Sus scrofa: one gene and its partners. Each later gene encodes a partner of the first gene's protein in a complex. Links are inferred from orthologs where the notes say so. Each region holds a gene or a part of one and is shown on either strand. Other genes may lie near its edges. The genes, in order: ZNRD1, POLR2F, POLR1B, RRN3, POLR1E, TAF1B and UBTF.

Region 1 (4,008 bases):
ACAGTGGGTTTGAGAATTAACAGACATAGAACATAAATATCATGTTTAATGTTTACATGTAATATGTTTTATGAATAAAAAGAACCACTTAAAATATGATTAAGGAATTGGGAATTATTAAAAATAACTAAGATGATTTGAAAAATAATCAGGATTTCCCTTGTGGTGCAGTGGGTTAAAGTCCAGCACTGTCACTGCAGGGGCTAGGGTTTGATCCCTGGCCCAGGAATATCCACATGTTGCCGGCATGGCCACAAAAAAATCAAACAGAACTAAAAAATCTATCCAGAAACAGCATAAAGAGAAAAGAGATGGAAAATATGGGAGACAGGGTGAGAGAAATGGAGGATAGAAGATAAGGCCTAATAAAGAGCTAATCAGTTAGAACTCTAAGAATATGAGAACTGAGCATATGAGGGAAATATTCAGTGTGATAACAGCTGATAATTTTCCAAGGTTGATGGGGGAAAAAAGGTCAACCCTCACTGTTGGAAGGCCCAACACATCCCAAACAGGATAAATAAAAGAAAGCCACATCTTGATAGATTGTAGTGAAATTGAAGGACACCAAAGACAAAGAGGAATTCTTAAAACTATGTTTTAAAGAACCCATGTTCTGGGAGTTCTCGTCGTGGTGCAGTGGTTAACGAATCCGACTAGAAACCATGAGGTTGTGGGTTCGATCCCTGGCTGCTCGGTGGGTTAAGGATCTGGCATTGCTGTGAGCTGTGGTGTAGGTTGCAGTCTTGGCTCGGATCCCACATTGCTGTGGCTGTGGCGTCGGCCAGCGGCTGCAGCTCTGATTAGACCCTAGCCTGAGAACCTCCATATGCCTCGGGAAGCGGCCCTAGAAAAGGCAAAAAGACAAAAAAAAATAAAGAAATAAAAATAAAGAACCCATGTTTTTTAAATCATCCATGACTGACTCTCACCAAAGTAAAACTACCTTGAGGGCAGTGGAGGAGTCCAACATAACACACTGATCACAAACCAATACTCATTTCCTTTTAACTATTGTAAAAGGTTTAATTCACTGGGTATAAAAAGATAGGAAAAGAGTAATTATTTAAAATTTAAAAAGACCACAGAACTTCCCATCGTGGCACAGCAGCACAAGCAAATCCGACTAGGAACCATGTGGTTCAATCCCTGGCCTCACTCAGTGGGTTAAGGCTCTGGCATTGTTGTGAGCTGCGGTGTAAGTTGTGGACGCAGCTGGGATCCGGTGTTGCTGTGATCTGGCGTTGCTGTTGCTGTGGTGAGGCCAGAGGCTACAGCTCGGATGTGACCCCTAGCCTGGGAATCTCCATATGCCACGGGGTGCAGCCCTAAGAAGGAAGGAAGGAAGGAAGGAGGGAGGGAAGGAAGGAAGGAAAGAAGGAAGGAAGGAAGAAAGAAAGAAAGAGAGAGAGAGAGAGAAAGAAAGAAAGAAAGGAAGGAAGAAAGAAAGAAAGGATGGAAGGAAGGAAGAAAACGATCACAAACCTATTACTTGAACTGTACAGAAATGAAGGATGCGACCAGTCCAAAAAGTACAAAAATTAAACCACTGGATTTAAATTAAATCACGGGATTTTGGCAGCAAAGAGACCCAGAAGGGGCAGAATGGAGGGAAAGGATACGCACTTGCAGTTGGTACAGGTGTAGAAGACAGTCTGCCCTTCATCGGCTGAGCGCATCTGTCTGGTGTGGTATGCCATTCCCTCATGACCACAACGAGGACAGCGCCTGTCAACCTGGGAAGCAACTGGTAGGTTAATAATTCCCACTACTTCTCACAGACATCAAGCTACCACACTCCTCAGATACTGCTGGTTTTTGTTTTGCTGCACCTGCAGTACGTGTAAGTTTCCAGGCCGAGGATCGAACCCGTGCCACAGAAGCGACCTAAACCGCTGTAGTGACAATGCCGGCCAGATCCTTAACACCCGGCTGCACCACAAGAAAACTCTCCCCAGTCACTACTGTTTTAAAGACTCTTCTTCCCTGTTGTGTACAAAACTCTCCAGATCTGAGCCCTCCGTTTCGTTCCCACCCTCTTTACAGGGCCAGTCCTCGACGTGATTCACTTACCACGGGTCCCTGGAACTCAGGTCCTTCCTCCATCGACATAGGCATGGCTGTCCCCACTTTCTGGAACACAACTGAGGTCTTCACAACCTTCCCCTCAAAGTCTGCGCGGGCAGTAAGAATTGGTTGTGGAGACAGCGGAGGGGGCTGACACCACACTAATCCCTCTCTGTTAGGCCAGGAAGCTATATTCTACCCATCAGGTTTCGTGCCGACCAAAAGTATAAGTGCCTGATCCTGCGCTTTCGGGTCCCCGTCTTTAATCCAATCGATCTTGAGATCCCCATGGGCCCTCCTCCGCCCCAGCCGCGGCGTAGCAGCACCTCACCCCGCACGTTGATGGAGAAGCCACAGCGAGTACAAATGACCGCATCCTGAGTCCCGGGCAGAGGCAGGACCGAGCCGCAATCCGGACAGAAATCCAAGTCCGACTGAAAGCTAGAGGATGTGCGGGCGAGGTCCATGACAGACGGGTGGTCGAGGGCTGGGAAGGGGATGAGGAGTTTATTAAGAGAGTAGCCCCTTCCCCAGAGAGGTCATGCCTATTCTGTCCCTGGACGTAAGCATGCAGAACCCGAGATTTCTTCCTACGCATACCTTGTGCCTCTGTGACTAAGGAGCCCAAACTTCCGGAATCCCTATCCCGCGTCGGGTACAACTACGCTGGGGGTCTTTCCTGGGGCAGGCGAGAGGAGCAAGTCAACTTCACGGGCTAGAGCGCCGGCTCCGCGCGGGCAACCGAGCAGCGAGCGCGTGGCGGGCTAGAGAGTCCACGCGTCCCGGCTCTCGATTGGCTGTGACGTCATAATTAATTGCAACTGTGATCCCGAGAGCCTGGAGAGGGAGAGGAGCGGTTCTGAAGGAAGATTGTGGCGCCCCCTTCAGCCTGGTTCTGTTACGTTGGATACGAAAATAGGTGACGAAGCTGCGCCTGCCTCAGGTTATTTTTTCCCTTCAGGACTCAGTCCTGGGATGTTTATTTTATTGGTCTCGAATTTTACCAGGACCCAGTCGCGGGGAGCGTTTCTCCTGAGAAGTCGGACCAACCTTATAGAGTACTAATTTATTTATTTGGACTGGAGAACTGCAAACTCCAGCGGTTCCTGAATCTGCACTTCACTGTGGCGGTTGGACAGTGGTAGAAAACAAAGCGAAATATTCTGGGAGTAATTCTAGCATTCTTTGGGCCTTGCGACCCAAGCAAGGGCTCTCTGCAGGACCCGGTATGGCTCATGTGCTTTGGTGGCTGTTGCCTTGTCTATAGTGTAGATCACAGTTGCAGCTTTGATTCAGACCCTAGCTTGGGAACTTCCATATACCACAGGTGCAGCCTTAAAAAGAAAAAAGAGAGAGATCATGGTATTTGTAGATTAAAAATCATAGTTCCCACTCTTTATATGTTTAAATTTCAGCATCAAAATGTTTTTTGTATTTTGAGTTCATGTTGTGGCACAGCAGAAACAAATCCGACTAGAAACGATGAGGTTGTGGGTTCGATCTCTGGCCTCGCTCAGTGGGTTAACGATCTGGCTTTGCTGTTGCTTGAGCTATGTTTCGTTTTGTTCTTTTGTTTTTCCTTTTGTTTGTTTGTTTGTTTGTTTGTTTTGTTTTGTTTTTTGTTTTTGCTTTTTTTTGCTTTTTAGGGCTGCACTTACAGGATATGAAGGTTCCCAGGCTAGGGGTTGAATCAGAGCTACAGCTGCCCACCTATGGCACAGCCACAGCAACATAGGATCTGAGCCATGTCTGTGACCTACACCACAGCTCAGGGCAAGGCCAGATCCTTAACCCACTAATCGAGGCCAGGGATCAAACCCGCAACCTCATGGTTCTTAGTTGGATTTGTTTCTGCTGCACCACAACAGGAACTCCCATGACTGATTTTCAAATAAATTGTAGAAGTTATATTTTTTACTTCTATTTTTTACTTTGTATTCA
Region 2 (4,019 bases), on another chromosome or scaffold:
TACAATTGCGAGCCAAAACAGGCACCGTGTCCTGATGGGAGTTCATGAACTAGAAGGGCAGATGGATGTTAATTCAACATGAATTCATAGGGACACACAAGGTATCTGACTACAGGTTACGCTAAGCCCAGTGAAGGAAAAGGCACTGGGAGTGTGTGGGCACCTAACGGTTGGTTGCACTGTGTTGGTGGTGGGTGGGGAGGAAATAAGGCTTCTCTGGAGAAATTGAAAGTGTGATATAGTATGTGTCACTGGGTCACCATGCTGTACAGTAGGAAAAAAAAAATTGTATTGGGGAAATAACAATTACAAAAAAAAAGAATAACCAAAAAAAAAAAAGTGTGATATAAGGGATGCATAGCAGTTAACTACTCTAAAATTCGTGAGTTCTTTGACTTTTGGCCACTTTCGAGTTGCAGGACCCCCAAACTTTCCTGAACCCCAGGCTTCTTATCTGAAAAATGAAAACAGCAATTGCAAGCCATAAGTCATGCAGGTGAGAACTGAGTTACAGAGGTTAACAGTGACTACCGCTCTCCTTTTGTCCTTTCATGCACTGACACCACCGCCCCGCCCCGCCCGACCACCACTGACCTCTGAGCAGCTCGCAGGTTCTTGGGGTGTAAGCGGCCGGCTTGGGGCAGCGCCAGAAGCCAGTTCCTTTGGTCACAGTCTCCACCCTCTCCTGGGAAGCCATGGGAGGGCTCTGAGGAGGGAAAAACGCGACGACACACCCCCTGTCTCCCATATACAACCTCTGCTTCCGCATCCCCAACACCACCCAAAGTTTGGGTCTGGCGGGGGCGGGGCCCGCAAGAGAATCGTGACGCCGCCCATCAATATCGCGACAGTGCCCAATCCTCCCACCCGGAACAGATCCACTGGCAGATACACACATGCGAACAGAGACCTCATCCAGACCCGGCGCCTGTGGCAGGGAAGCCACCTCTGGAGGAAAGGGGCGTTAGGGTAACCTTGCCCGTTGTGTGATAGACCCAAACGGAAACCTCACTCTTAGGTAAGACTCCGGCTGGGTGCCCACTGAGAGTGGCCGCTAGGCTCTGAAGGAGCACCCGCGCCGGAGCCCTGCAGGAATGCTTTTGAGATCTCCGCTGCTCAAGCTCTGGTTATACACTCTGGCTACCATGGTAACAAGCTCTAGCTTCTCGGCGCGTGCGCACTATCGCCCTGCCGATCCTCCCGGAAGCAATTGCCTCTAGGTCACAGCGCAGGCGCAGAGTGCGCGTGGCGCAGCTCGTGGCGGAGGCGCGCAGTTTGCGGGTCTCCGCGCGACTCTTAGCGCAGAACCAGGGAGCTGCGGCGCGGGCGTCATGTCTGACAACGAGGACAAGTGAGTGCGGGAGCAAAGTGAGCTTTGCCGAGCCTGGTCAAAGGAGGTTAAGGAGCCGTTAACCGAGGGGCAATGCGTGAGGGGACTGGGGGTATTGAGGGGCCCGCGGAGCTGAAGAAGGGAAAGGCGGGGGGACCAGGAGCTTAGACCTGGTCACAGGCTGGGCCAAGAAAAGCCCCAGTTTGAGGATCCGGAGAGAATCAGTGAACGTGGTATCTTTCCACAAACTTTCACGGAGTCGGGCTCTGTCTCTTGATTTGGAATTACTGAGGTGAATTAGGCATAGCTCCTGCTCTTCAGGTAGGGGGCCCTTTCTAGAAAAGGGGACAGGCCCACAGACGGATACTGCAGGGGTCGTGTGAATTGCACGAAGTATGTAAAAGAAACCCAGCGGAGGGTCTGGGGAGACTTGAGGTGGTAAAAGTCTGGGAGGCTTGCGGTAATCCAGGAAAAAAAAAGGAGTGACTTGTACTAGGTAATCGTAGTAGAGGTAGTGAGAAGTGGTTTTGATTTCTGGGTTTATTTTGAAGCTAGAACCGGAAAGATTCCCTGAATGTGTGGAGGAGAGACAAAAATAGAGGCGTCTTTAGCATAAGAGTATTAGTCAAAGCTAAGAGAGGGGGCGATCATGGGGAGGCGGCAGGGGGGTGGGTGGTCAGTAGAGAAGAGGAGATGAATGAGCGTCAGAGCATCCTAACTGTGGAGTGCCTGGAGGGAAGAGAAGCTGAGAAAGAGCCACTGTGAGGCGGGGGAACACCAAGACCGCGAGGTGTCCTTTTCTTTCTTTCTTTCTTGGTCGCCCTTGTGGCATCTGGAGTTCCTGGGCCTGGGATCAGGTCCGAGCCACAGTTGTGACCTATGGCACAGCTGCAGCAGTGCTGGATCCTTAACCCACTGTGCCGGGCCAGGGCTCGAACCTGTGTCCCAGTGCTCCAGAGATGCTGCCAGTCCTGTTGCGCCGCAGCGGGAACTCCAGTGGAGAGTGTTTTGAGTGAGAGGGAGTGATTCGGTGTGCCACCTGACAGATCAGGCTAAATGAGAACAAGAATAGACCAGTGGATTTAGCAACGTGCAAATCATTGATGAACTTGAAAGGAGTGGTTTTGGTGGAGCCAAGGAGCTGAAAGTCTTTGGGAGTGAGATGATGACAGAATGTGAGGAGAAGAATTGGAAATGGCGAAGATGGACGACTCTTTCATGAATTTTTCTCCCACAGGGGGGCATGGAAATAGGGCTCTGGAGGGAATAGAAAAGGAAGCTTTGGCGTTCCTGTCATGGCTCAGTGGTTAACGAATCTGACTAGGAACCATGAGGTTGCAGGTTTGATCCCTGGCCTTGCTCAGTGGGTTAAGGATCCGGCGTTGCCATGAGCTGTGGTGTAGGTCACAGATGCGGCTTGGCTCTGGCATTGCTGTGGCTCTGGTGTAGGCTGGTGGCTACAGCTCTGATTAAACTCCTAGCCTGGGAACTTCCACGTGCCGCGGGTGTGGCCCTAGAAAAGACAAAACCAAAAGAAAAGAAAAGGAAGCTTTGTTTTAGTAAGTTGAGGACATCAAATGACTTAATAAATTATTATTATAAAATGATTTACTCAGTAAGTGCATATTTATTGAGCACCTCCTGCTTATCAGATCTATGCCCTCTTTGATTCTTGTAAGTGATGCTCTGCTTTCTTCTTGTACAGTTTTGATGGCGATGACTTTGACGATGTGGAGGAGGACGAAGGGCTAGATGACTTGGAAAATGCCGAGGAGGTAAGTGTTTAGCCTTGGGCTCTCCTCTCGGCAGCCCAAGTTGCCAGATAGCCCGGCCAGTGATGACTGAATGCATCTGCTTCTTGTCTGTAGTGAGGCCAGTTAGAGTGAGGAGAGGTCTAGTCCTGGGTGGTGGAGGTGGCCCGCAGGGTGGGCCTGAAGGATTTTGTCCACTTGGACCACAGCCTGTAGCTTCTGGGGTGGTTAGTTTACTGACAGGTGAAATATCCCCTTCATTCATTGAGCAAACATGTGTTGAATGTTTATTGTGTACCAGGAGCGCTGCAGGGTGGGGCTACATAAAGAGCAAGGGGGAGAGTGACCTGGAATAAAGCTGGAGAGGTAAGGGCCAAGGTCAGGCAGGATGTTGTAGCCTGCAGGTGGTGGGAAGCCACGGACAAGTTTTGAGCTGGGGAGTGGCATGGTCCAGTTTACACTTTAAAGGAACACTTTGGGGAGTTCCCGTGGTGGCTCAGTGGTTGCAGGTTCGATCCCTGGCCTTGCTCAGTGGGTTAAGGAGCTGGCGTTGCTGTGAGCTGTGATAGTAGGTTGCAGATGCAGCTCGGATCCTGCCTTGCTGTGGCTCTGGCGTAGGCCGGCTGCTACAGCTCTGATTAGACCCCTAGCCTGGGAACCTCCATGTGTCGCAGGAACGGCCCTAGAAAAGGCAAAAAGGCAAAAAAAAAAAAAAAAAAAAGGAATACTTTGGGGAGGAGCAACAGTAGGAGAGGCCAATTCAGGAGCTCTCACGGACCTCCAGGTGAGACCTGTAGCTGGCACTTGGGTGCTGATACTGCTGGAGATGAGAAAACGGATGCAAGAGATATTTTGGTAGATTGGATGTGGGCTGAGAAAGTGGGAGATGCCGAGGAAGACGAGTTTCTGGTGAATGAGTTACTAGCTTCATGGCTAAA
Region 3 (3,500 bases), on another chromosome or scaffold:
TTTAAGAATGAATTTCTGAGGAGTTCCCGTTGTGGCTCAGCGGTTAACGAATCCGACAAGGAACCATGAGGTTGCAGGTTCGATCCCTGGGCTTGCTCAGGGGATTAAGGATCCGGTGTTGCCGTGAGCTGTGGTGTAGGTCACAGACACGGCTCGGATCCCGCGTTGCTGTGGCTCTGGCGTAGGCTGGCGGCTACAGCTCCAATTGGACCCCTAGCCTGGGAACCTCCATATGCCGTGGGAGTGGCCCAAGAAATGGCAAAAAGACCAAAAAAAAAAAAAAAAGGAAAGAAAAAAAAATGAATTTCTGAGAGTTCCTATTGCAGCTTAGCAGTAATGAACCTACCTAGCCCATGAGGATGTCAGTTCAATCCCTGGCCTCTCTCAGTGGGTTAAGGATCCAGTGTTGCCGTGAGCCCTAGTGTAAGCTGGCAGCTTCAGCTCCAATTTGACCCCTAGCCTGGGAAATTCCATATGCCACAAGTGTGGCTCTAAAAAGCAAAAAAAAAAAAAAAAAAAAAAAATGAACTTCATCAAAGGCGGATTTCAGGTTACAAATTTTGATAGGTGGATGTTGGCCTAAAGGCTGTAGACAAGTTGTCTGTATAGCTTTATTCTATTTTTAATGGTCACATGCGTTTTCTATGCCTCCTTCTAGAAAACTAAAGACAGCTTAGCTCTGAGGAAAGGTTACCTAGGTGGGGAGTCTAGGAGGCTTGGTATACATGCCCTTCCCTAAACCAGTTACATCAGAATGACTGGAAAATTTTAAAAAATGGTTAGAGCCCAGAAATCTGCTTTTTTTTTAAAAAAAGAAAAAACTATGGGAGTTCCCTTCGTGGCTCAGTGGTTAACAAATCCGACTAGGAACCATGAGGTTGCAGGTTCAATCCCTGGTCTTGCTCAGTGGGTTAAGGATCCGGTGTTGCCGTGAGCTGTGGTTTAGGTTGCAGACTCAACTTGGATCCGGCGTTGCTGTTGTGTAGGCCGGTGTCTACAGCTCCAATTAGACCCCTAGCCTGGGAACCTCCATATGCTGCGGGTGCAGCCCTAGAAAAGACAAAAAAACAAAACAGTTCTTCTAATGCAGATTCTTTTTTTTTTTTTTTTTTTTTTTTTTTCTTTTTCTTTTTTTGGCCATGCCATATGGAGTTCCCAGGCTAAGGATCAGATCCCAGCCACAACTGTGGCAACGCCAGATCCTTAACCCACTGTGCTGGGCCGTGGAATCAAACCTGTGTCCCAGCGCTCCCAAGACACCACTGATCCCATTGCACCACAGCAGGAACTCCAGATGCAGGTTCATTAAGAGCTGACATGCTTGTGTGTCATCCAGCCTTCTGAGATGAGTCCCATTTAATTACTTGCTATTGTATTATTAATTTAATAAAGGAGAATGTGTAGAGGAGATGAGGAAAGAGTCAAGGCTAATACAAGTTGGTGAAATTTGGGGGTTTTTGCTATTTTTTGTAACCCCTTCTTCTACCAGAGCTGAGTAACCTCAGTAATAACCCACTTTGTGATCTTTAGGTTTGTGCTCTGAGGTTTTGTCATCTTTTCATCACCTCCAATACAAATTTTCGATGATTTTTGTTTTATGAAGGTCTTGGCTTCCTGCAGGATTCTGGACTCTGTGTCGTGGCTGACAAGCTGAACTTCATACGCTACCTCTCCCACTTCCGCTGTGTGCACAGAGGGGCTGATTTTGCCAAGATGCGGACGACCACGGTGCGCAGGCTGCTGCCAGAGTCCTGGGGCTTCCTCTGCCCCGTGCATACCCCTGATGGGGAGCCCTGTGGTCTGATGAACCACTTAACCGCCACGTGCGAGGTCGTCACCCAGTTCGTGTATACAGCCTCTATTCCAGCTTTGCTCTGCAGCTTGGGTAGGTGGGGCACAGCCATCAGCGGGCCTGTGTGCTTGTGGGGGTTTTAGCAGGTGCAAAGCTACTAAGTTGTGCTTCTGCGTGAGTTGAGCAGAGAATTCCTGCAGGGATGATGAGTGAAGCATTGGGGATAACCTGTGACATTTGGGGAAACACCTGCTGTCTTCAGAAGGTGTTTATGGCTCATGAAAGAGTGTTCTTAAAGTTCTTGGTAATTGCAATACTTCTGTAAAGTCACCATTGGCACTGAATTAGCAGATACTGAGGTACTGCTTCTGGGGGAACAGGGATTAGGTTCTTGCAAGTCTCTTGTCATAACACCTTCCTCACTTGATTGGTACATAGCCTTGTTTTGTGTTTCTGTTTAAAGATGCCTTAGTCAATATATATTGTTGATCCACTAACATCGAGCCCTCAGCCAACAGCACCATAACTCTGAGCTTATCTAACACAGTTTTCCAGCCTTGTGCTTGGGAGCCAGGACTTTATTTAGTACTGTGCTTGAAGGCCATTTTAAATAGCAAAGTCTCCAATGAAAAGCACAAAGATGCAAAAAATAAATAAATAGGGCCTGGGACAGACCATGGGAAGGATGTCTGTCTATAGTATTAGCTGAGACCGGCAAACTGCACGTCACCTCCTTTGACCTCAGCTGGGAATTCGTGTCTCAGACAACTCAAAATTTTCACTGAATGTCCTCTGGTGATCGGAAAAGTGCCACTAGTATGAAGCTGGGGTTGCAAATAAATTTTAGCAAGTAGGCAGATTTGTGTTGCGTGAATAATGCAGATCAATTATAATTAGATTTTTGGGGAGAAGTTGGTATGTTTACATGGCTCAGAAATAAAAAAGTGTATGGTAAAAAGCCTCCCTTACACCCCTGTCTGCAGGGTGCTCTCTAGGGGCAATTGCAGACACGCAATTTGGGGGGTCCTTGCTGAAATGATTTAGAAATTTACTCAAGAATACAAAAACATTCTGCTTTAGAGATAAGATGCCTAGATGTCTAAAATGGTGATGCCGACATTGAACCCATCTGGAGGGAATTTAAATGTTGGGGAAAGGAGCCTGAGGTGATGGTTCTGTGTGTTCGATTTCCCCAGGGGTCACTCCCGTGGACAGTGCACCACATCGGCGGTACAGCGAGTGCTACCCTGTCCTCCTGGATGGCGTCATGGTTGGCTGGGCAGACAAGGAGCTCGCTCCTAGCATCGCTGACTCCCTCCGACATTTTAAGGTGCTCTTGAGTTCTTGTGAGGTGTTTTGTCCCTCCATCTTAGCTGTTTGGTCTTTTTCTTGTTGTCAAGGAAGCCCCAGGGCCTTCTCCAGGGTCAAGGGCTCTAGAGGCCAGAAGCTGATCCCAAAAGTGCCTTTTACATTCTCTCTGGTGGCAGCCAGCATCTTACCTTATACTCACCTCATTGGTTGGGGTTAGTGACAGGTATTTAACCTGTACTACCCCCTTTTTTCTGTGGTGGTGGTTTTATTGAGGGCTCTGGTCCACTCACTAACACATTTTTAACTTTCTTTTTCTTTGTAAATATTAGTGGCGTATAGGGGACCCTAAAATACAGACTTTATATTTCAAGTAATATTAAAGATATGCCAGATACAA
Region 4 (4,218 bases), on another chromosome or scaffold:
GCATATGGAGTTTCATGGGCTAGGGGGTCTCATCGGAGCTGTAGCCACCGGCTTACGTCAGAACCACAACAACTCGGGATCCGAGCCGCACCTGTGACCTACACCACAACTCATGGCAATGCCAGATCCTTAACCCACTGAGCAAGGGCAGGGATTGAACTTGCAACCTCATGGTTTCTAGTCGGATTAACATACATTCTTTTGTACATCTAAGACTTTTTTAAAAATAAAAGATTAAAGTAATTGTCAAATTGCTGGAGAGTACAGTTAAACTACTGACTGAGAGTGCAAAGAACTGTGAGGTTTTTCGTTTGTTTGTTTTCCCCTCTGCTTTGGGGGCGGAGGAGAGCGAGTCCCACTTAAACAGCTCTCTTGAACATCTCTGTGAGCAGGGTGCAATTTCCTCTGCTCTTGGGACGTTGATGACTTCTGCCCAGTGTTTCGCAGGAATTCTATAAAGTAGTGAGGGAAGAAATGGTTGGGGACAGCCAAAAGACAGTTACTGATTTTAGTTTATTCAATAATGTTTATTTTTTTCCACCATAGATATTTAGTCACTGATTTTACACCTTTGCAAAAACAGAACAGCGCTTTACATTTAACAAATTGCTGTAGCTGGTTTAATGTCCTTTTGATATAATTCTATACAGTTTCCAAAGGTTGCAACATTTTTCCTTCTTAGAAACTGAGAGGGGAGGACTAAGGGGAGGGGCAGTCCATCTTTCCTTCTGCCTCCTTCTCACCCACCCTTCTTTGGCACCTGCTGTTCCCTATGCCTGTAAGACCCTTTCCTGCTTTTATGGTCTGGCCAACTCCGTGCCTCCTTTAAAAATTTAAGTTCAAGGGCTAATGTCTTTTGGAAACTGTCTCCTCTCACTCTTTGATTTCTCATCCCAGCATCACGATAAGCTCTGAGGTATAGGGGTAAGCCGCTTCGTCAAGCCTGTCTCCGCGAGGATAAGATTAGTTTGGGCGTCTGTGAGGGTAGCCAGCAGGTAACGGGAAGCAGCTTCCTGTGGATCGAGCCGACTCGTTCCAACCCTGGACGGCACCATCTCTTTGCGGGTTTGAGTTAATCACGGGTCCTTGGGTTCTTCAGTTTGACTGACGGATGTTTTGACTCCAAAAGCTTAATACCTAGCCACGGCTTAGCACTTGCCGGTGTCCCCGCCCCTTCTCTGGGACCCTGGAGGCTGGATTGTGCCGCCCTACGAATCCCTCCCCTACTTGTACAGGAGGCGCCCTCAGCGCAACACCTCGCTAGGCAGAGAAAGTCCTCCAGGCAGAAGGAGGGGCCCGATGCAGGGCTTGGAGGAGACCGCATTGGTGGCGCTCTAGCTCGCCGAGCTCACTCAGCGCTCCCCAGTTGCGGTTCCTGATTGGCTGACGGCCGCAGCTCTCACGCGAGTCTTCCTGGACGGAGGCGGTCTTAGAAGAAACAAGACTTCCGGCGCAGGTTGCAATCGTCGCGCTTGTCCGGCCCGATGGCGGCCCCGCTGCTTCACACGCGGTTTCCCGGAGATGCTGCCACCTCGGCCTCCGCAGTCAAGACCTTGGGCGCGTCTAGAACAGGGTGAGAATCCGGGGCGCTTGCTCTTACGCGTCTGGGACCAAAGCCTAGGACCGGGATTAGGGGAGCAATCCGAAGGGTCCGAAAAGGAGTGGGGGGTGGGAACAGAGGGAACAGGGTCAGTTCAGTTTCTCAATAGGGAGCCCATGTCCCTTAGGTGGGTAATAAAGGTGGGAGAGGGGCTGGAAATATGAACTTATTTTCTGTTCCAGAGTTCCTTTTGCTCCTCCCTGGACTCCCTCTTACTGGGCTCGCTCAATAGCGTCCCAGGCCTGGGTACGGCATTCTACCCTTTTACTCGTTCCACCTGCTTCTTGGACTAGATTTTTTTTTTTTTTTTTTTTTTTTTGGTCCGCACTTGCGACTTGTAGAAGTTCCCAGGCCAGGGATCGAACCCGTGCCATACTGTGACCTGAGCCACAGCAGTGACAGCGCCGGATCCTTAACCCGCTGAGCCAAGAGGGAACTTCCTTGGTTAGATTTAGATTTAGTCCCTGGGTTATATGGATTATCAGCTGAATGCCATCACTAATGGCATACTGCCTTTTATTTTTTTTTTAGTTTTTTTGAAATTTTTAATTTAATTTTATTTTTTGTCTTTTTTAGGGCCGCACCCACAGCATATGGAGGTTCCCAGTCTAGAGGTCGAATTAGAGCTGCAGCCTCTGGCCTATGCCACAGCCACAGCCATGTCAGATCTGAGCCGCATCTGCGGTCTAGAACTCTCTGCAATGCTGGATCCTTAACCCACTGAGTTAAGGAGGCCAGGGATCAGCCTGCGTCATCATGCATACTAGTCAGATTCGTTTTGGTTGAGCAGCAATGGGAACCCCTGAAATTTGTTTTGACACACTTTTGTTTAACAGTGTTTATCCTAGTCAACTTTTAAAGTCCCTGATCCTGGTGAAACACTGTGGGGTTTAACTTTGAGAGTCACTAGCAAGATACTATGTTTTTCACTAATCTACTGTGTTTAAAAGAAACAAACTTACATTCGGCATAGCATCATTCATGATATTTCTTAAGTGCCTGCTTTCTGTATTAGACATGGGGGATCGTAGTCAATCAAAAGAGACAGTGTCCCTGCTCTCAGCAGAGCTTACAGTGTGAGGAAGGGAAGACAAAAAATAAATGAACAGGATGATTTCAGATACTGGAAACTTCTGTGAAGAAATAAAACAGGATGATGGTAGGGGAGAAAGAAAGGATGAGTACTTTAGAATTCTGATGGGGAAGCCCTCTCTGACATTTGAGCTTCAACTTGAGTGAAGACAGGGGTCCCACCAGGTTCATATCTGGAAAATGAGTGTCTCTGATAGAAGTAATGATAAGTAAAATGGTAATCTGCTTGGTGAGTTTGAAGAACAGAAAAGACTCTGGCTGCAGTAAGTGTTTGGAGATGAAGTTAGAGAGGTAGGCAGGGGCCAGATTAATGTTGGACCTCAAAGCCCCCAGTAAAGAGTGTAGACTTTTTATTCTGAGTGAAGTAGGAAACCTTTGGAGAATTTAAGCAGGAGAGTTGGATAGCTTGATCTGTCTTTTTGAAAGATCTTTAGATCACTGAATGAGGAATTGTTGGGGGACTCAAGGAGAGGCAGGGAGGCCAGTTAGGGGACTTCAGCAGTAGTCCCCCCGGATGATGATGGTCCAGTAAATGTTGGTTATTATATATTTTATTGTTCCCTGTCAAGCACTTTAATGGCTTGATAATCTTCATTCTATAGGCTTTCAGATATGCTTGCACTAGAGAATGATTTCTTCATTTCTCCCCCAAGAAAAACCGTTCGGTTTGGTGGAACTGTGACAGAAGTGTTGCTGAAATACAAAAAGGTAAGAGGGGATAATGTGAGGTTTGGTGAGTTTTTTCCTCACCTTTATTGAATTAAAATTGACATATTGAGGTTTTATTTTTGCTAGTCAGATTACAGCTATAGCTATAATCTGATAGACAGGACAGATAAGATGAATTTGATATCAATATTGAAATCAGATATTTCACAGCAGCTTGGTGCTGTCAGCTCAGAGAGTAGTAACCCCTTTGCTGTTACAGATCTTTAAATGCTTTCTTTGTATAGTATCTTTTTAAAACTTTGGCAAGAGGTAGAATTAAAAAATCATTAGATCAGGGCATTTTATTTCTTAAGGAGTTACCTAAGCATTGCTTTGGGCCACAAACCAGCTTTGTTGATGAGGGTTTTGGTTTTGGTTTGTTTTTGCATCAGTTTAGAAGTGATTCTACTGTATGTCAGCAATGGAGGGAAAATAATCAGGACTATGTATTTTTATATGCAACTTGCATATATATCTCTATGTAGCATATTCACTTTCATATTTAAATGTCAGTACACAAGTACACCTAAAGATAAATTGCATTTGAGTTGTCATTTTCTTTTTTTCTAGCCCACTAGCTTCACTAACATAAGTTTTAAAATTTTCGTAGTCAGGATTTGTAATTCCAGTTGATGTATGAATGTTACAATGTTCTTTTTATATGTGTGTTTATCTTGTTAGAATCTAGGATCTTTTTTTTCCCCAATACATTTTATTGGAGAATAGTTGACTTAGAAAGTTGTGTTAGTTTCAGGTGTATGGTAAAGTAAATCACTTATACAGATACATATATCACGATGCATTTTTTTGTAATAGTT
Region 5 (4,155 bases), on another chromosome or scaffold:
TTTTGTCTGTAGGAAATACTATACATGGTCTTCAGGTGTGATGGGGCATCAGGTTGATAACTTACTCTAAAAAGTTCAGGGCCAGAAAATTTCTTTGCACTGTACTTGCAATTTTTCTGTAAGTTGAGATTTGGTAATTAGAAAAGACTTGCTCAGAAAAAGGAGAGCTCAGGTGTTATCTTTTTTTTTTTTTTTTTTTTGTCTTTTTGCCGTTTCTTGGGCCGCTCCAGTGGCATATGAAGGTTCCCAGGCTAGGGGTCTAATCGGAGTTGTAGCCACCGGCCTACGCCAGAGCCACAGCAACGCGGGATCCGAGCCGCGTCTGCAACCTACATCACAGCTCACGGCAACGCCGGATCCTTAACCCACTGAGCAAGGGCAGGGACGGAACCCGCAACCTCATGGTTCCTAGTCGGATTCGTTAACCACTGCGCCACGAAGGGAACTCCCAGGTGTTAATGTTTTTTAGATCATCTTGGAAGTACGTGCAGGGGGAGGGGAAGTCTCAAAAGAAGGCAATTTGGAAAACACAGATGAGTCAACCTGGTTCTTTCCCTTCAACAGTACCCTCCTTTGACTGAGAAAAACGGGTCCTAGCCTGGGCCCATGCTGAAAGATCTGCTTTAATCCTCCTTTTTGCCTAATAACTCCCCATGCGGTAGGGAGGGTTGAATCCGCGGGGACAAAGGACCATGCCTTCTGGTTCCCCCTTCTTGTCCACCCCAGAAGCTTTGAGTCTGCTGGGCCTCTCCCACTGGTCCATACTCTCAGAGTTGATTGAACCACAGGTGGTACTGTGCCAAGGTCCGAGAAGATGAGGTCATGTTACTGTTTACAGGATTGTGGATCACGTTTGGGCTTAAGGATTGATATCCAGGTGTGTGGATGGAGGTCCTGGAAAGCGGCCGGTCTCCGCCAGTCGCCACATTTAGTTAGCGTGCAAGGATTGCCTATCGAAAAATTCTAAATTTGAACTTGGACTTTCAGGCGTCAGTAAGACTTATTTGCCTCGGTGGTAGAGATAGACCATACCCTACCTAGACTCAGCCGCGAAGAAACCCGTCTATGCGCTAAAGCAAGACCTGAAGGTAGTGTGCTCCCTAGCGGCACACGACCTGTAAAGAGCAGGCCGAGTGCTGGGCCAATCACGTGTTGCGCCTTGCTGCGGAGGAAGGAGCGGGGCATAGGGAGCGCAGAGACCCCGCCTCTCCACGCGGAGGGGCGGGCGAAGAGTGAGAGGGGATGGCCCGCCTCAGAGCTCAGCGAGACAGCGCTTAGGGGCCGGGCCTGATGGGGGCGGAGCCACGCATCTCTGCGTGCGCAGGGCGGTGCCCGGAGAGGCCACGCCTCTTCCGCCCTGCCTTTTTTTTTTTTTTTTTTCCACCCGCGTGTACCTAGCGGACGCAGTTGTCTTAACTCCTGTGCTTGGCGGTAGAAGGGCGAGATGGCGGCGGAGGTGTTGCCGAGTGCAAGGTGGCTGTACTGTGGAGACCCCGAAGAGAGCCAGAGAGCTTTACTGGGTAAGGACTGCGGAGCCGGAGCAGAGCTCCCTGTAACTTCCTCCCTTTCTGTCTCGGTATCTACAGCCCTCGTCTTCCCTTACTGGTCCGTCCCCCTTCTCAGCTGGGCCAGATCCCTTCCAGGCTCTACTGCTACTTAGGGCTCGGCCAGGGTTCCTCTGTCATCTCACCGCGTTTCTGTCACCACCTTCCCGCTGAATGAGGCCTTACCAGTTACCCCTTCCCAGTACTCTAGACCCGGTCATCTCCTCACCCATCAAGTCTCAAACCTGCTCCATTTACTTTCCTCCATTGGGCAGAATTTTTCTTTATCTTTTTAGGTCTGGTCCAGGCCTCGTCAGTTAGTCCCATTTCCCCTAGTTATTCCCTCCCGTCGAAGCCCCTCTCTCCTCAGGCCTCCCCTTACCTTCCCATCCCCTCCCCATCCTCTTCCCACCTGGATCCGGATCTCCTTAAGCCCTCCTTTGGGGAGTTCCCATCATGGCTCAGTGGTTAACGAATCCGACTAGGAACCATGAGGTTGCGGGTTTGATTCCTGGCCTTGCTCATTGGGTTAAGGATCCGGCGTTGACGTGAGCTGTGGTGGTGGTCGGATCCCGCATTGCTGTGGTTCTGGCGTAGGCCGGTGGCTACTGCTCTGATTAGACCCCTAGCCTGGAAACCTCCATATGCCGCGAATTTGGCCCCAGAAAAGACAAAAAACAAACAAAAAACAAAAAAAAACCTCCTTTGGGCCAGGACCTGGGCCTCTTTGCCATCCCCATTCCTTCAGTCACTCCCTCTCATTGACTGTCTGTTTCCTCTGCATCATACTCTCTTGGTCCTTCTGCTCTCATGTCATTCCTGGGCTACAATCTTACAGTCCAGTTCTCCAATGGGAAGCTGCAGAATCCAGGCAACATGCGCTTCACCTTGTACAAGAGCAATGATTCCACAAACCCCAGGAAGAGGAGTCAGCGGATCCTGGTAAGTGCTGCAGTAGCTTGTTTTCTCCACTCTGCAGGCTTCAGGAGGCCCCTTGGGTGTGGAAGGGAGTGAGAGGAGAAAAGCAGGGGATAGCAGATTAGCCTTAAAGAACTTTGAGCCCCAGCAGGCTGGTGTGTGGGAGCAGGCTCCATTCAGTTTCACACTTATGGTGAAATGATAGCCCTTTATTCATTTGTTCATTCAGCAACCATCTATTGAACCCCCACTGTGGCTCTGGGCCGTAAGCAGCTAGGGAGACAACTAAGTCAGACATGGCCCCACCCGGAGGGAGCTCATAATCTAGAGCAGCATTTCTCAATCTCAGCACGACTGACCTTCTGACCCAGATAATTCTTTGTTGTGGGGACTGTTCTGCACATCCCTGGTGTTTAGCAGCTTCCCTGGTCTCTACCCAAATATACCTAGCACCTCCTCGTTGTGACAATAGCATGTCAGACATTCCCAGATGTCCCCATAGGGGTATTTCCCTGGGTTGAGAACCACTGATCTAGAGAAGTGAGAACTGGATGTAGGGGACACTTACACATAAGGAGACAAAGTTCAGGATTCCAGGGAGGGAGGGTACAGAGCAGGGCAAAGTGCGCTCTGCTTGCCAGAATGCCTTCTTGTGGCAGGATGCATTGGAGCCCTGAAGGATGGAGGAAGGTTTGACAGCTGAGGCTAATATTCCAAGTGAAGAGGACACCAAGGACAAACATGGGGAAGCAGGAAAACTTGGCTATGATTGAGGAGTATATTAGCCATTTCCATGGTCCTGGGAGCATGTAAGGAACAGTCATGGAAGAGGTGGCAAAGAGGTTCAAGAAGGGGTTAGACTTTGGGGTTGCCTGCAGGATCATTTTGTTGCATGCCTCTACGTGCTCAGCTACTCTCCCAAGCTCCACCAAGAACTTTCTGGCCTAGCTGGAAGCCAGCAATACCTGGGGCTTCCCTTTCAAAAATCCTTTTGCTTTTTCCCCAGGGACACCCAAAATTCACTTAAAGATAGTGGAGCTGGATCATCTCAAAGAGGCTCTCCCTGTTCTAATCTACTGTGGTTTGGAGTCTAAAGCTTCTGTATCTGAGGTTGCTCAGCTGTGGGAAGTCAAGATATTTATTATCTTTCAGCATTGGTTGTAATGGAACTTTCCCCCTCTCCATTTTAGGCAGCTGAAACAGACAGACTTTCCTATGTGGGAAACAATTTTGGGACTGGAGCCCTCAAATGCAACACTCTCTGCAGGTAGGGACAGGGTAAAGGGATTGCGGGGAGTAGAGGGTGGTGGCGGCAGCCCTGGCACTGCTCTTCTCTGCCTTTATTTTAGGGGCAATGGGGGAAATCTAGAGAGGTTTCTCAAGTTTCTGTGTTCCCAGACCCAGTGGCCTTCACACCAGCATGTAGACATTCCTGAAAATGAAAAGTGACTTAGATTTGTTTAATTTCCTAAAAATCTCATTTATTTACAATCTTGATGAGTTTTTTTAACTGAGAGCTAATTGACATATGACATTGGTTTCAGGTGTATAACAATGATTCAATATATGTACATATTGCAAAATGGCAACATGGTAAGTCTAGCTAACATCCATACTTAATTACAAAATTTTTTCAACCAGAAGTTTATACTTTTTGATCACCTTCATTAATTTTCACCACATCGTTAACTTA
Region 6 (4,036 bases), on another chromosome or scaffold:
AGCCATGTCTGAGACCTGAACCCACTGAGATCAGGGATCAAACCTGCATCCTCTCGACACTGTGTCAGGTTCTTAACCTGCTGAGCCACAGTGGGAACTCTATCCACCTCATTTTCTAGTCTCCCTTTAGCTCATGGTTCCGGCCACTCACTGACCTCCTTGCTGACCCTTAAATGACAGCCATGAGGCTCAGGTCCAGGGCCTGGGTACTTACTGTTCCCTCCTCCTGGAAGGACAGTCCCAACATGGCTCTGGCTTCCTTGCCTCAAAGGTCACCTTCTCAGGGAGACCTTTCTTGCCGCTCCATTTAAAATCAAAACCACCTTACAGCGCCCTTTCCTTTCCTGCTTTATTTTTCTCCTTGGCACTCATGCCCATTTAACATACTGGGTACTTTATTTGTGTTTCTCTCTCCCCATCAGAATATGATCTCCATGAAGGCAGGAACTTTTGTTTACTTTGCTCACTGCTGAATCCCCAGAACCTAAAACAGTGCCTGGTTGATGAACAAACCAAGAAATGAATGGCCAATGAAGGGACAACAATAAAGCTAAATTTAATGAGCATTTACCATCTGAAGCTCATTTAGAGGAGAGTCACAGGGAATAACTAATTTTACAGCGGAGAAAACTGGGGCACAACGAGGCAGAAAAGCCGTGATTAGAAACCCAGGTTTAACTCAAAAACCTGTTTCTTTCTTCCAGAACCTGGTGTTTCTCCTGTGCTGTCAAAAGCCAGAACGAAGTGAAGAGCCGGGTCCACGCGTGGGAACGCGGGGGAGCCGGATTGAATGAGAGCGGCCTGGGATGAAAGGCTGTCTGAACAAAGAAGGGAGTGGGAGGGATCGGGAGCTTGGGGTGATCGGATGCAAACTATTGCTCTTGGAATGGATTTACAATGAGATCCTGCTGTGTAGCACTGAGAACTATGTCTAGATACTTACATCGCAACACGACAATGGGAGGAAAAATTATGTATACATGGATGTGTAACTTGGTCCCCATGCTGTACAGTGGAAAAAATAAATAAAATTTTAGAAAGAGAGAGAGAATGGATCCGCTCAGCTCCATGGATCAGCTCCGTCGGCGCCGCCCACTTTTTTACTGATGGGCTTTAGTTACTTGGACTAGAACAGGGATGCTGTCTGGGAGGGTGATGCAGGATTAGCGGAGCTTCAGCCTGGAGCTGGCCGAGCCTTCCCGGAGCCGCACGAGCCGGAAGCTCAAAACCAGGGTCTGGGTTTCTGCCCGGAGGGCTTTTCCGGCCGCTCCCGGAAGCCGCGCTCGCTGCCCGGGTAACGGGCCCCGCGGCGGAGTCGGCGGCGCCCGCGCCGCTATGGACCTGGAGGAGGCGGTGAGAAAGCCGTGTGCTGCGCTGGCCGGCCGAGCGGCGGGGCGGGAAGGGAGGGAGGCTGAGAAGGGGCCGGAGGAGGCCGGCTGGCTGTGCGGGAGGCCCCTGGCCAGAGGCGGGCGGGGCGGGGAAAGGGATGGGGCTGGCGGGCCACGAGGGCGCGTGTTTGTTTGGGAAAGAGGCCGGAGTTTCTTGCTCGGCGAGATTTTGGGTGAAGCGGGGGTGGGGCGTTAGTCGACGTGGGTGTGTTTCGGGAGAAGGATGGAGTTGTAGGTTTTGGGGGGTGGCCACCCACGTGGCTCATCCTCTGGAGACGGGACCACCCACAGTTCTCCTTGATGCTGGAGGCTGGGCGAGGGGGGCTGGGGTTGGAACCCGCTCGCCCCCAAGGAACACCTGCGGGTCCCTGGGAATCCTCGCCACGGTCTGGTACAAGGATTCCAAATACGGGTTTGGGGGCGCTCAGAGGTTATGGTAGTTATCAACCTGGGGGGTCACTGAAAACTTGACCAACTTGTCGAAAGAAATTTGGCATGCGTCTTGACACACTACCTAAAATGTCACTCTGACGGTATTAAAAAAAATTCGGTCTTTGGATCAACGGTAATAAGACTTCAGACACCAAAGAGTTGGGAATCAGTTTGGTGCCAGTCTATATATGTACAGCAGCATTATGGTGATAGAAGGTCTTACTCATTGTAGCTGCTCAATCAGTGTTTTTTGAATGATGAATAGTTAACGTTTATAAACATTAGTTAATGAGATTAACAAGTAGAACTCACCCTTAGCCTGTATGGCTATGAGTAGAGATTATAGCTCTGTTTTGATGAATCCCCAGCACCTCGTTAAGTGCCCACTACATACGGAGTTGGTACTCCTTAGATTCCCGAATGAACAAATCGAAACTTGAAATAACCCTAATAAAACTCTGGCTCCTTTGTGGTATTTGCTCTTAGTATCCTGGAGGAAGTTTAAAATGATACGCTATTTCTATTTTTTAAGTCTTCTCTGTCCTTAAATCTCGGCAACTCTTTCCTCACAGCAGTTTCAAGGAGTTTTGTTCACCTTTTTTTCCTTCTCTTCACCTCTACCACCCTTTTTTTTTTTTTCTCCCTCCCCCTGCGTATTTTAGAAACATTTCTCTAATGGTTCAATCCGGTTTCAAACTGCTCAGACGAAATGCCTGTTCTTCTTGATTATAAATCTCTCTGGTATATTTTCTGTTTTGGATGATTCTTTATTTATAGAGTAAAAGGGCCAGGAGTCCTCTCAGTAGAACTGCAGGATTTAGGAATGATGTATTGAATGTGGTTTTCTTCTCCTACAGAAAGAGTTCAAAGAACGATGTACTCAGTGTGCTGCTGTGTCTTGGGGACTTACTGATGAAGGCAAATATTATTGTACTTCTTGCCACAATGTTACAGAAGTAAGTAACAGATCTCACTTATGAATTTGTTTGTGCTTTAAAAAGTGCAGTTTCAGGAGTTCCCATTGTGACTCAGTGGAAAGGAATCTGACTAGTATCCAGGAGAACGCAGGTTCAGTCCCTGGCCTCGCTTGGTGGGTTAAGGATGCGGTGTTGCCATGATGTGGCTCAGATCTATTATTGCTGTGGCGGTGGTGCAGGCCAGAGGCTACAGCTCTGATTCGACCCCTAGTCTGCGAACCTCCATATGTCTTGGGTGCGGCCCTACAAAGACACAATAAAAAATGAAAAAATGAAAATTGCAGTTTCAGCCTAATAATGTGGCATAGTTATTTTTATCACTCAGACAATGCCCAAATTCCAAGAATGTAAGCAATCCTCAAGTGCTTACACAAGGATTAAAGAATTTGTAAAGTAGATTTAGGATGAGCTTTTGAAATTACATTGGGCCATATATATGAATATTTTCCCGATCCATACTGTATAGTAAGGGGAAATAATTAAAATTGCACCTAAATGATACATTTCTTTTTATTAGTTAGTACTTCTTTAAGAGTTCGTAATGCGTTGTTTGGAGATGGAATCTTAGAAAGATTAAGGACTATTGGAAGTGTTGGAAACATGCTTCGTCATCATTATACCCTTGTGCAGTGCCTTACTCAGTAAGTTGTGTTTTCTTGTCTGTTGATCCGTTTCCTCCTCTGGATAACCTGTGAGCTACACTGTTAATGCCCGTGTCCGTAGGTGGGGCGAGTAGGCTTGTCCGTCAATGCCAACCTCACGTAAATAGAAACTGTTGAGTAAGTACCTGAACGAGGGCTTCCAACTCCAGTGTTCATTTTAGTCACCGTATCTGCCTCGTAAGACAGAGATTGGTTGCACCAGTTTACATGCCCACCAAGAGTGTGGGAGCGTTCCCTGTTCTCCACACCCTTTCCAGCATGTATTGTTGGCAGACTTGTGGTGATGGCCATTGACTGGTGTGAGGTGATACCTCATTGGAGTTTTCACCTGCATTTCTCTAATAATTAGTGATGTTGAGCATCCTTTCATGTGTTTTTTGGCCATCTGTCTGTCTTCTTTGGAGAAATGTCTGTTTAGGTCTTCTGCCATTTTTTGATTGGGTTTTCTGTTTGTTTGAGGTAAAGCTCCAGGAGATGTTTGTCTGATTGAGAGATTTATCCCTTAGGGGTCACTTTGTTTGCAAAGATTTTCTTCTGTTCTGTGGGTTATTAGAGACAATCATGCTGAGAGAAGTAA
Region 7 (3,500 bases), on another chromosome or scaffold:
TCGGTCTTGAGCCTCTAAGTTGTATTTTCCACACTCTGTTCCCTCGTGTTGGAGAGAAAGAAGGAGGCCCCTGTGTGTGGAAGTCTTCCTTTGGAGCTTCCCATCACCCAGAGTGTCTTCAGCAATGTCGGGGAATGGGAGAGAGATGAGGAACATGAAGGAGAGGGAGATGAGAGGGCTTGAGAAGGCTTTTGAGGTTTTTTATTATTGTTAAGGGGACAAGGGTTTTGGTGAGGCACACTGGCCAGAGAGGGTGTTTTGGTGGCTTGAGGTCTCAAGATATATAGCTCCACCCTACCTCACCTAGCACCCCAGCCCATAGGGCTCCAGTGTGTAAGGAGGCAGGGGATAGGATGAATCTGAGCCTCTGGCAATCCTTGTGAGACCTTGAGAAGACAGGTTCATGGGTTTCCGTGACCCCGTCCTGGAAACCCTGGCCCAGGTCACCAGATGTAAATGCAGGTGAAGAGCCCCTTTGACGCCTAGCTGTGCTCCCAGCCCCTTTGATGGCTGTGCTCCCAGCTCACCTTCCAGGCTGGCCATCCTCCAGAGGAGCCTCACTGGAACTGCATTTTTCAGTGGCTGGAAAAGGCTGGGCCAGACCCTGTTCTCTGCCTCTACGGGAAGTTGAGCTAGGAAGACAACGCAGAATTCCCGGGCTCTGGGGTTTCTTCGCTGGAGCAGGGCCCTGGGAGCCTTTGCCTGCGTTGCCTCACAGCTGCCCTATATTGGCTCTTTCAGTTGTTTACTCGCCCCACATTCTCCTTGGGTCTTCCTCAAGAGGGAGGGTAGGGTCATCACTCATGTTTCTCATGGTAGTTTCCAGCTGCGCTGGAGAGAAACATCTGCATGGGTTCTCCTTACTGCCCATACCGCTTGCTCAGTCTGCGCATTTAGAATCTTCACCTAGAACTTTGATCGAACTAAGCTTCATGTTTAGGTAGATGCGTGGCCTTCTTGCTTCCCCTCCCTCTGCAATAAGCTAGCTATTCTCCAGCAGGGTCCCAAGTCACCGTAGCTTCCCCCCGCCCCCTTCCGTCTAATAAATTGTGGCCCAGGGCAGGTAGCATGGTAGAAATGATAATAGCTCTGAAGGAAGCCAGACTTGAGTCCAAGGGTGATTTCTAGATGCGATGCTGTCCCGCCCGGAGTTCCCCCTTTAACCCAGGTGGCCGCAGCTCTTGCTTAGGGCCAGGTCGTGTCGTGTCTGTGCCTTCAGAGGGAAGAGAACCAGGGTCTGGGGTGCTCTGGCAAGGAAGGGTTGCTTAAGGACTGGGGAGCAGCTGGGGGCTAGCATGAGCGCAGCGTGATGGGCGTTCCGACCCTTCCCCAGACCGCTGGTCCCAGGAAGACATGCTGACTTTGCTGGAATGCATGAAGAACAACCTTCCATCCAATGACAGCTCCAAGTTCAAAACCACTGAGTCGCATATGGACTGGGAAAAAGTAGCCTTTAAAGACTTTTCGGGAGACATGTGCAAGCTCAAATGGGTGGAGATCTCTAACGAGGTAACTGATCCCCCCCTTCCTGACACATCTGAGCACACATCCACCCATACCTTTGCCTCAGCCTTCCTGGTGGGAGAGATGAAACAGAAGTCTATAAACAGGAAGGAAAGAGACCAGGCGAGGTGCTCGCGTGGTCGCCCTTGTGCATTTCGGGAGGTGGCACGGTTGACAGCCCTGGCCAAGACTTCTCAGTTCTGCCACTTTCTAGCTGTGTGGCCTTGAATACTTACCGTCTTGGAGCGTCTGTCGTCTGAGCTGTTCTGGGGATTGAATGAGGTGCTGGCACGGACAACCATTCCGAGGTCAGGTGGTCACCTTTTTGCTGTCCTGTGGTGTGTTCTGACTGCCTGGGCCTCTGCAGGAAGCACGGGCCAGGGCCTGGGTGTCGGCCTGGGTGTCCGGGCCGCCTGAGCAGTGTGGCTGTTGGCCTCTGCCCCTCCTCCTCTGGTAACTTCAGCCTAGTGGAACGTAGAGAAGGCTCGTGGGGAAAACGAGGGTCGGCGCCTGCGTGGTGGTCCCCTCCTGGGACCGTCCCCTTCTGCTCACCTCCCTTCTTCCCCCAGGTGAGGAAGTTCCGAACGTTGACAGAGTTGATCCTCGATGCTCAGGAACATGTTAAAAATCCCTACAAAGGCAAAAAACTCAAGGTGAGTTTCCAGGAGGAGGAGCGCCAGGGCTCGGAGAGGCCAGGTCTAAAGATCGGATGGCGTCTGACCTTCGCCGTGTCCTTGTCCCTCCTTCCAGAAACATCCGGACTTTCCAAAGAAGCCCCTGACCCCTTATTTCCGCTTCTTCATGGAGAAGCGGGCCAAGTACGCAAAACTCCACCCTGAGATGAGCAACCTGGACCTGACCAAGATTCTGTCCAAGAAATACAAGGAGCTGCCCGAGAAGAAGAAGGTGGGGGGAGGGCAAAGGCCGGGAGCAGTCGGCGTGGCGTGGGTCATCTGTTGGGGGGCCAAGGGCTTAGACCAAGGGACCTGGCGTCAGGGGCGCGAGGGGGTCAGCAGAGCAGAATAGGGCCTCGGGTGGCCACCCCTGATCGCCCTCCCTGGCCCCACACCGTCCGTGCCACCCGGACCGAGGCGGGCGCTCGGTTTAGCCGCGGGCAGCCCGTGGTGGTGTTTCACACGAGTCCTCACTGTTAGGCCCGCACAGCCCTTCACGCCTGACATTTTCCCAACACGGTCTCGTTTGCTGCTCGTAAAGGTCACTCTGGGAGACTGGATGATCCCGATTTTGCAGGCAAGGAACTAGGGTGCTGGAGTTATCAGGTCCCAGTCAGCGAGGCTAGAGCAGGACTCCGGTTTAGTGCTCAGGCTCCCTGTCTACTGCTCTTTGCGTTGCCACATCCACAGGTTGGATGGGCTTCCCTGCCCTTGCACACCTTGTGCCCTGGGGCCTCGTGCTGTCCTAGACCGTTGGGGCTGTGACCCTTGGGTGGAGGTTGCCCCAGCCTGCCAGGCAGGGTGGACACAGTCCACACAGCAGGTCTCCCAGTCCCTCGCAGAGGCAGGAGCTCAGCACCTGCAGTGGGGACACACAGGAGATGCTGTCCAGTGGGTCGGAGCCAGGGAGAGACACTGGTGAGGGGCAGTGAGAGAGGCAGGAAGGCCCATTTGCTGGGAGAGGAGACAGTTGCACGCGGCCACCTCTCAGGAGGGCACCAGCGCTTAGCCCTTTTCCTGGTTTGTGCGCTCTGGCTGCCGGCTCAGGCGCTGGTTCTGTACCCCAAAAAAGGAGCCAGCTGGGCTGGGTAAATCCAGCTGTCGGCAGCTGCTGCCTGAGCCGAGCCGGAGTGTGAGCGGCTGGAGCCATTCTTGACCCCTGTGATGGGGACATCCCAGAGCTGACTGTACACACGCCACCCAGGCATCCTCAGGGGATGGGAGGGATAGGCCGGGGGTTTCAGGACCAAGAAGGGACAGAAGAGACCACGTTGTTGAGTGGACAGGGCGCCAGCCTAGGGGACATAAGCCTTGGGCCTGTTC

Evidence for each region.
Region 2: ZNRD1 (region 1) and POLR2F share a complex: the UniProt entries of both Homo sapiens proteins name them as parts of the pol I pre-initiation complex. The link is inferred for Sus scrofa from reciprocal best matches to the Homo sapiens genes POLR1H and POLR2F.
Region 3: ZNRD1 (region 1) and POLR1B share a complex: the UniProt entries of both Homo sapiens proteins name them as parts of the pol I pre-initiation complex. The link is inferred for Sus scrofa from reciprocal best matches to the Homo sapiens genes POLR1H and POLR1B.
Region 4: ZNRD1 (region 1) and RRN3 share a complex: the UniProt entries of both Homo sapiens proteins name them as parts of the pol I pre-initiation complex. The link is inferred for Sus scrofa from reciprocal best matches to the Homo sapiens genes POLR1H and RRN3.
Region 5: ZNRD1 (region 1) and POLR1E share a complex: the UniProt entries of both Homo sapiens proteins name them as parts of the RNA polymerase I (Pol I) complex. The link is inferred for Sus scrofa from reciprocal best matches to the Homo sapiens genes POLR1H and POLR1E.
Region 6: ZNRD1 (region 1) and TAF1B share a complex: the UniProt entries of both Homo sapiens proteins name them as parts of the pol I pre-initiation complex. The link is inferred for Sus scrofa from reciprocal best matches to the Homo sapiens genes POLR1H and TAF1B.
Region 7: ZNRD1 (region 1) and UBTF share a complex: the UniProt entries of both Homo sapiens proteins name them as parts of the pol I pre-initiation complex. The link is inferred for Sus scrofa from reciprocal best matches to the Homo sapiens genes POLR1H and UBTF.

What each region holds. Positions count from the first base shown.
Region 1 is NC_010449.5:22,625,663-22,629,670, reverse strand, and holds the start of ZNRD1 (DNA-directed RNA polymerase I subunit RPA12), read right to left. Parts: upstream 2,801-4,008; 5' UTR 2,668-2,800; intron 2,555-2,667; 5' UTR 2,535-2,554; coding exon 2,399-2,534; intron 2,175-2,398; coding exon 2,074-2,174; intron 1,737-2,073; coding exon 1,627-1,736; intron 1-1,626. UniProt on the Homo sapiens protein: Core component of RNA polymerase I (Pol I), a DNA-dependent RNA polymerase which synthesizes ribosomal RNA precursors using the four ribonucleoside triphosphates as substrates. Can mediate Pol I proofreading of the nascent RNA transcript.
Region 2 is NC_010447.5:9,914,922-9,918,940, reverse strand, and holds the start of POLR2F (DNA-directed RNA polymerases I, II, and III subunit RPABC2), read left to right. Parts: upstream 1-1,219; 5' UTR 1,220-1,331; coding exon 1,332-1,351; intron 1,352-3,035; coding exon 3,036-3,105; intron 3,106-4,019. Other genes in the region: C5H22orf23 (UPF0193 protein EVG1), read right to left, coding at 595-898. UniProt on the Homo sapiens protein: DNA-dependent RNA polymerase catalyzes the transcription of DNA into RNA using the four ribonucleoside triphosphates as substrates.
Region 3 is NC_010445.4:43,957,284-43,960,783, reverse strand, and holds part of POLR1B (DNA-directed RNA polymerase I subunit RPA2), read left to right. Parts: intron 1-1,603; coding exon 1,604-1,885; intron 1,886-2,988; coding exon 2,989-3,122; intron 3,123-3,500. UniProt on the Homo sapiens protein: Catalytic core component of RNA polymerase I (Pol I), a DNA-dependent RNA polymerase which synthesizes ribosomal RNA precursors using the four ribonucleoside triphosphates as substrates.
Region 4 is NC_010445.4:7,569,191-7,573,408, reverse strand, and holds the start of RRN3 (RNA polymerase I-specific transcription initiation factor RRN3), read left to right. Parts: upstream 1-1,418; 5' UTR 1,419-1,484; coding exon 1,485-1,573; intron 1,574-3,294; coding exon 3,295-3,400; intron 3,401-4,218. UniProt on the Homo sapiens protein: Required for efficient transcription initiation by RNA polymerase I (Pol I). Required for the formation of the competent pre-initiation complex (PIC).
Region 5 is NC_010443.5:238,196,304-238,200,458, forward strand, and holds the start of POLR1E (DNA-directed RNA polymerase I subunit RPA49), read left to right. Parts: upstream 1-1,355; 5' UTR 1,356-1,444; coding exon 1,445-1,520; intron 1,521-2,382; coding exon 2,383-2,486; intron 2,487-3,652; coding exon 3,653-3,729; intron 3,730-4,155. UniProt on the Homo sapiens protein: Component of RNA polymerase I (Pol I), a DNA-dependent RNA polymerase which synthesizes ribosomal RNA precursors using the four ribonucleoside triphosphates as substrates.
Region 6 is NC_010445.4:126,583,524-126,587,559, reverse strand, and holds the start of TAF1B (TATA box-binding protein-associated factor RNA polymerase I subunit B), read left to right. Parts: upstream 1-1,236; 5' UTR 1,237-1,335; coding exon 1,336-1,353; intron 1,354-2,677; coding exon 2,678-2,776; intron 2,777-3,314; exon of another isoform or gene 3,315-3,438; intron 3,439-3,444; exon of another isoform or gene 3,445-3,576; intron 3,577-4,036. UniProt on the Homo sapiens protein: Component of RNA polymerase I core factor complex that acts as a GTF2B/TFIIB-like factor and plays a key role in multiple steps during transcription initiation such as pre-initiation complex (PIC) assembly and postpolymerase recruitment events in polymerase I (Pol I) transcription.
Region 7 is NC_010454.4:18,993,515-18,997,014, forward strand, and holds part of UBTF (nucleolar transcription factor 1), read left to right. Parts: intron 1-1,333; coding exon 1,334-1,509; intron 1,510-1,526; exon of another isoform or gene 1,527-1,811; intron 1,812-2,072; coding exon 2,073-2,156; intron 2,157-2,253; coding exon 2,254-2,409; intron 2,410-3,500. UniProt on the Homo sapiens protein: Recognizes the ribosomal RNA gene promoter and activates transcription mediated by RNA polymerase I (Pol I) through cooperative interactions with the transcription factor SL1/TIF-IB complex.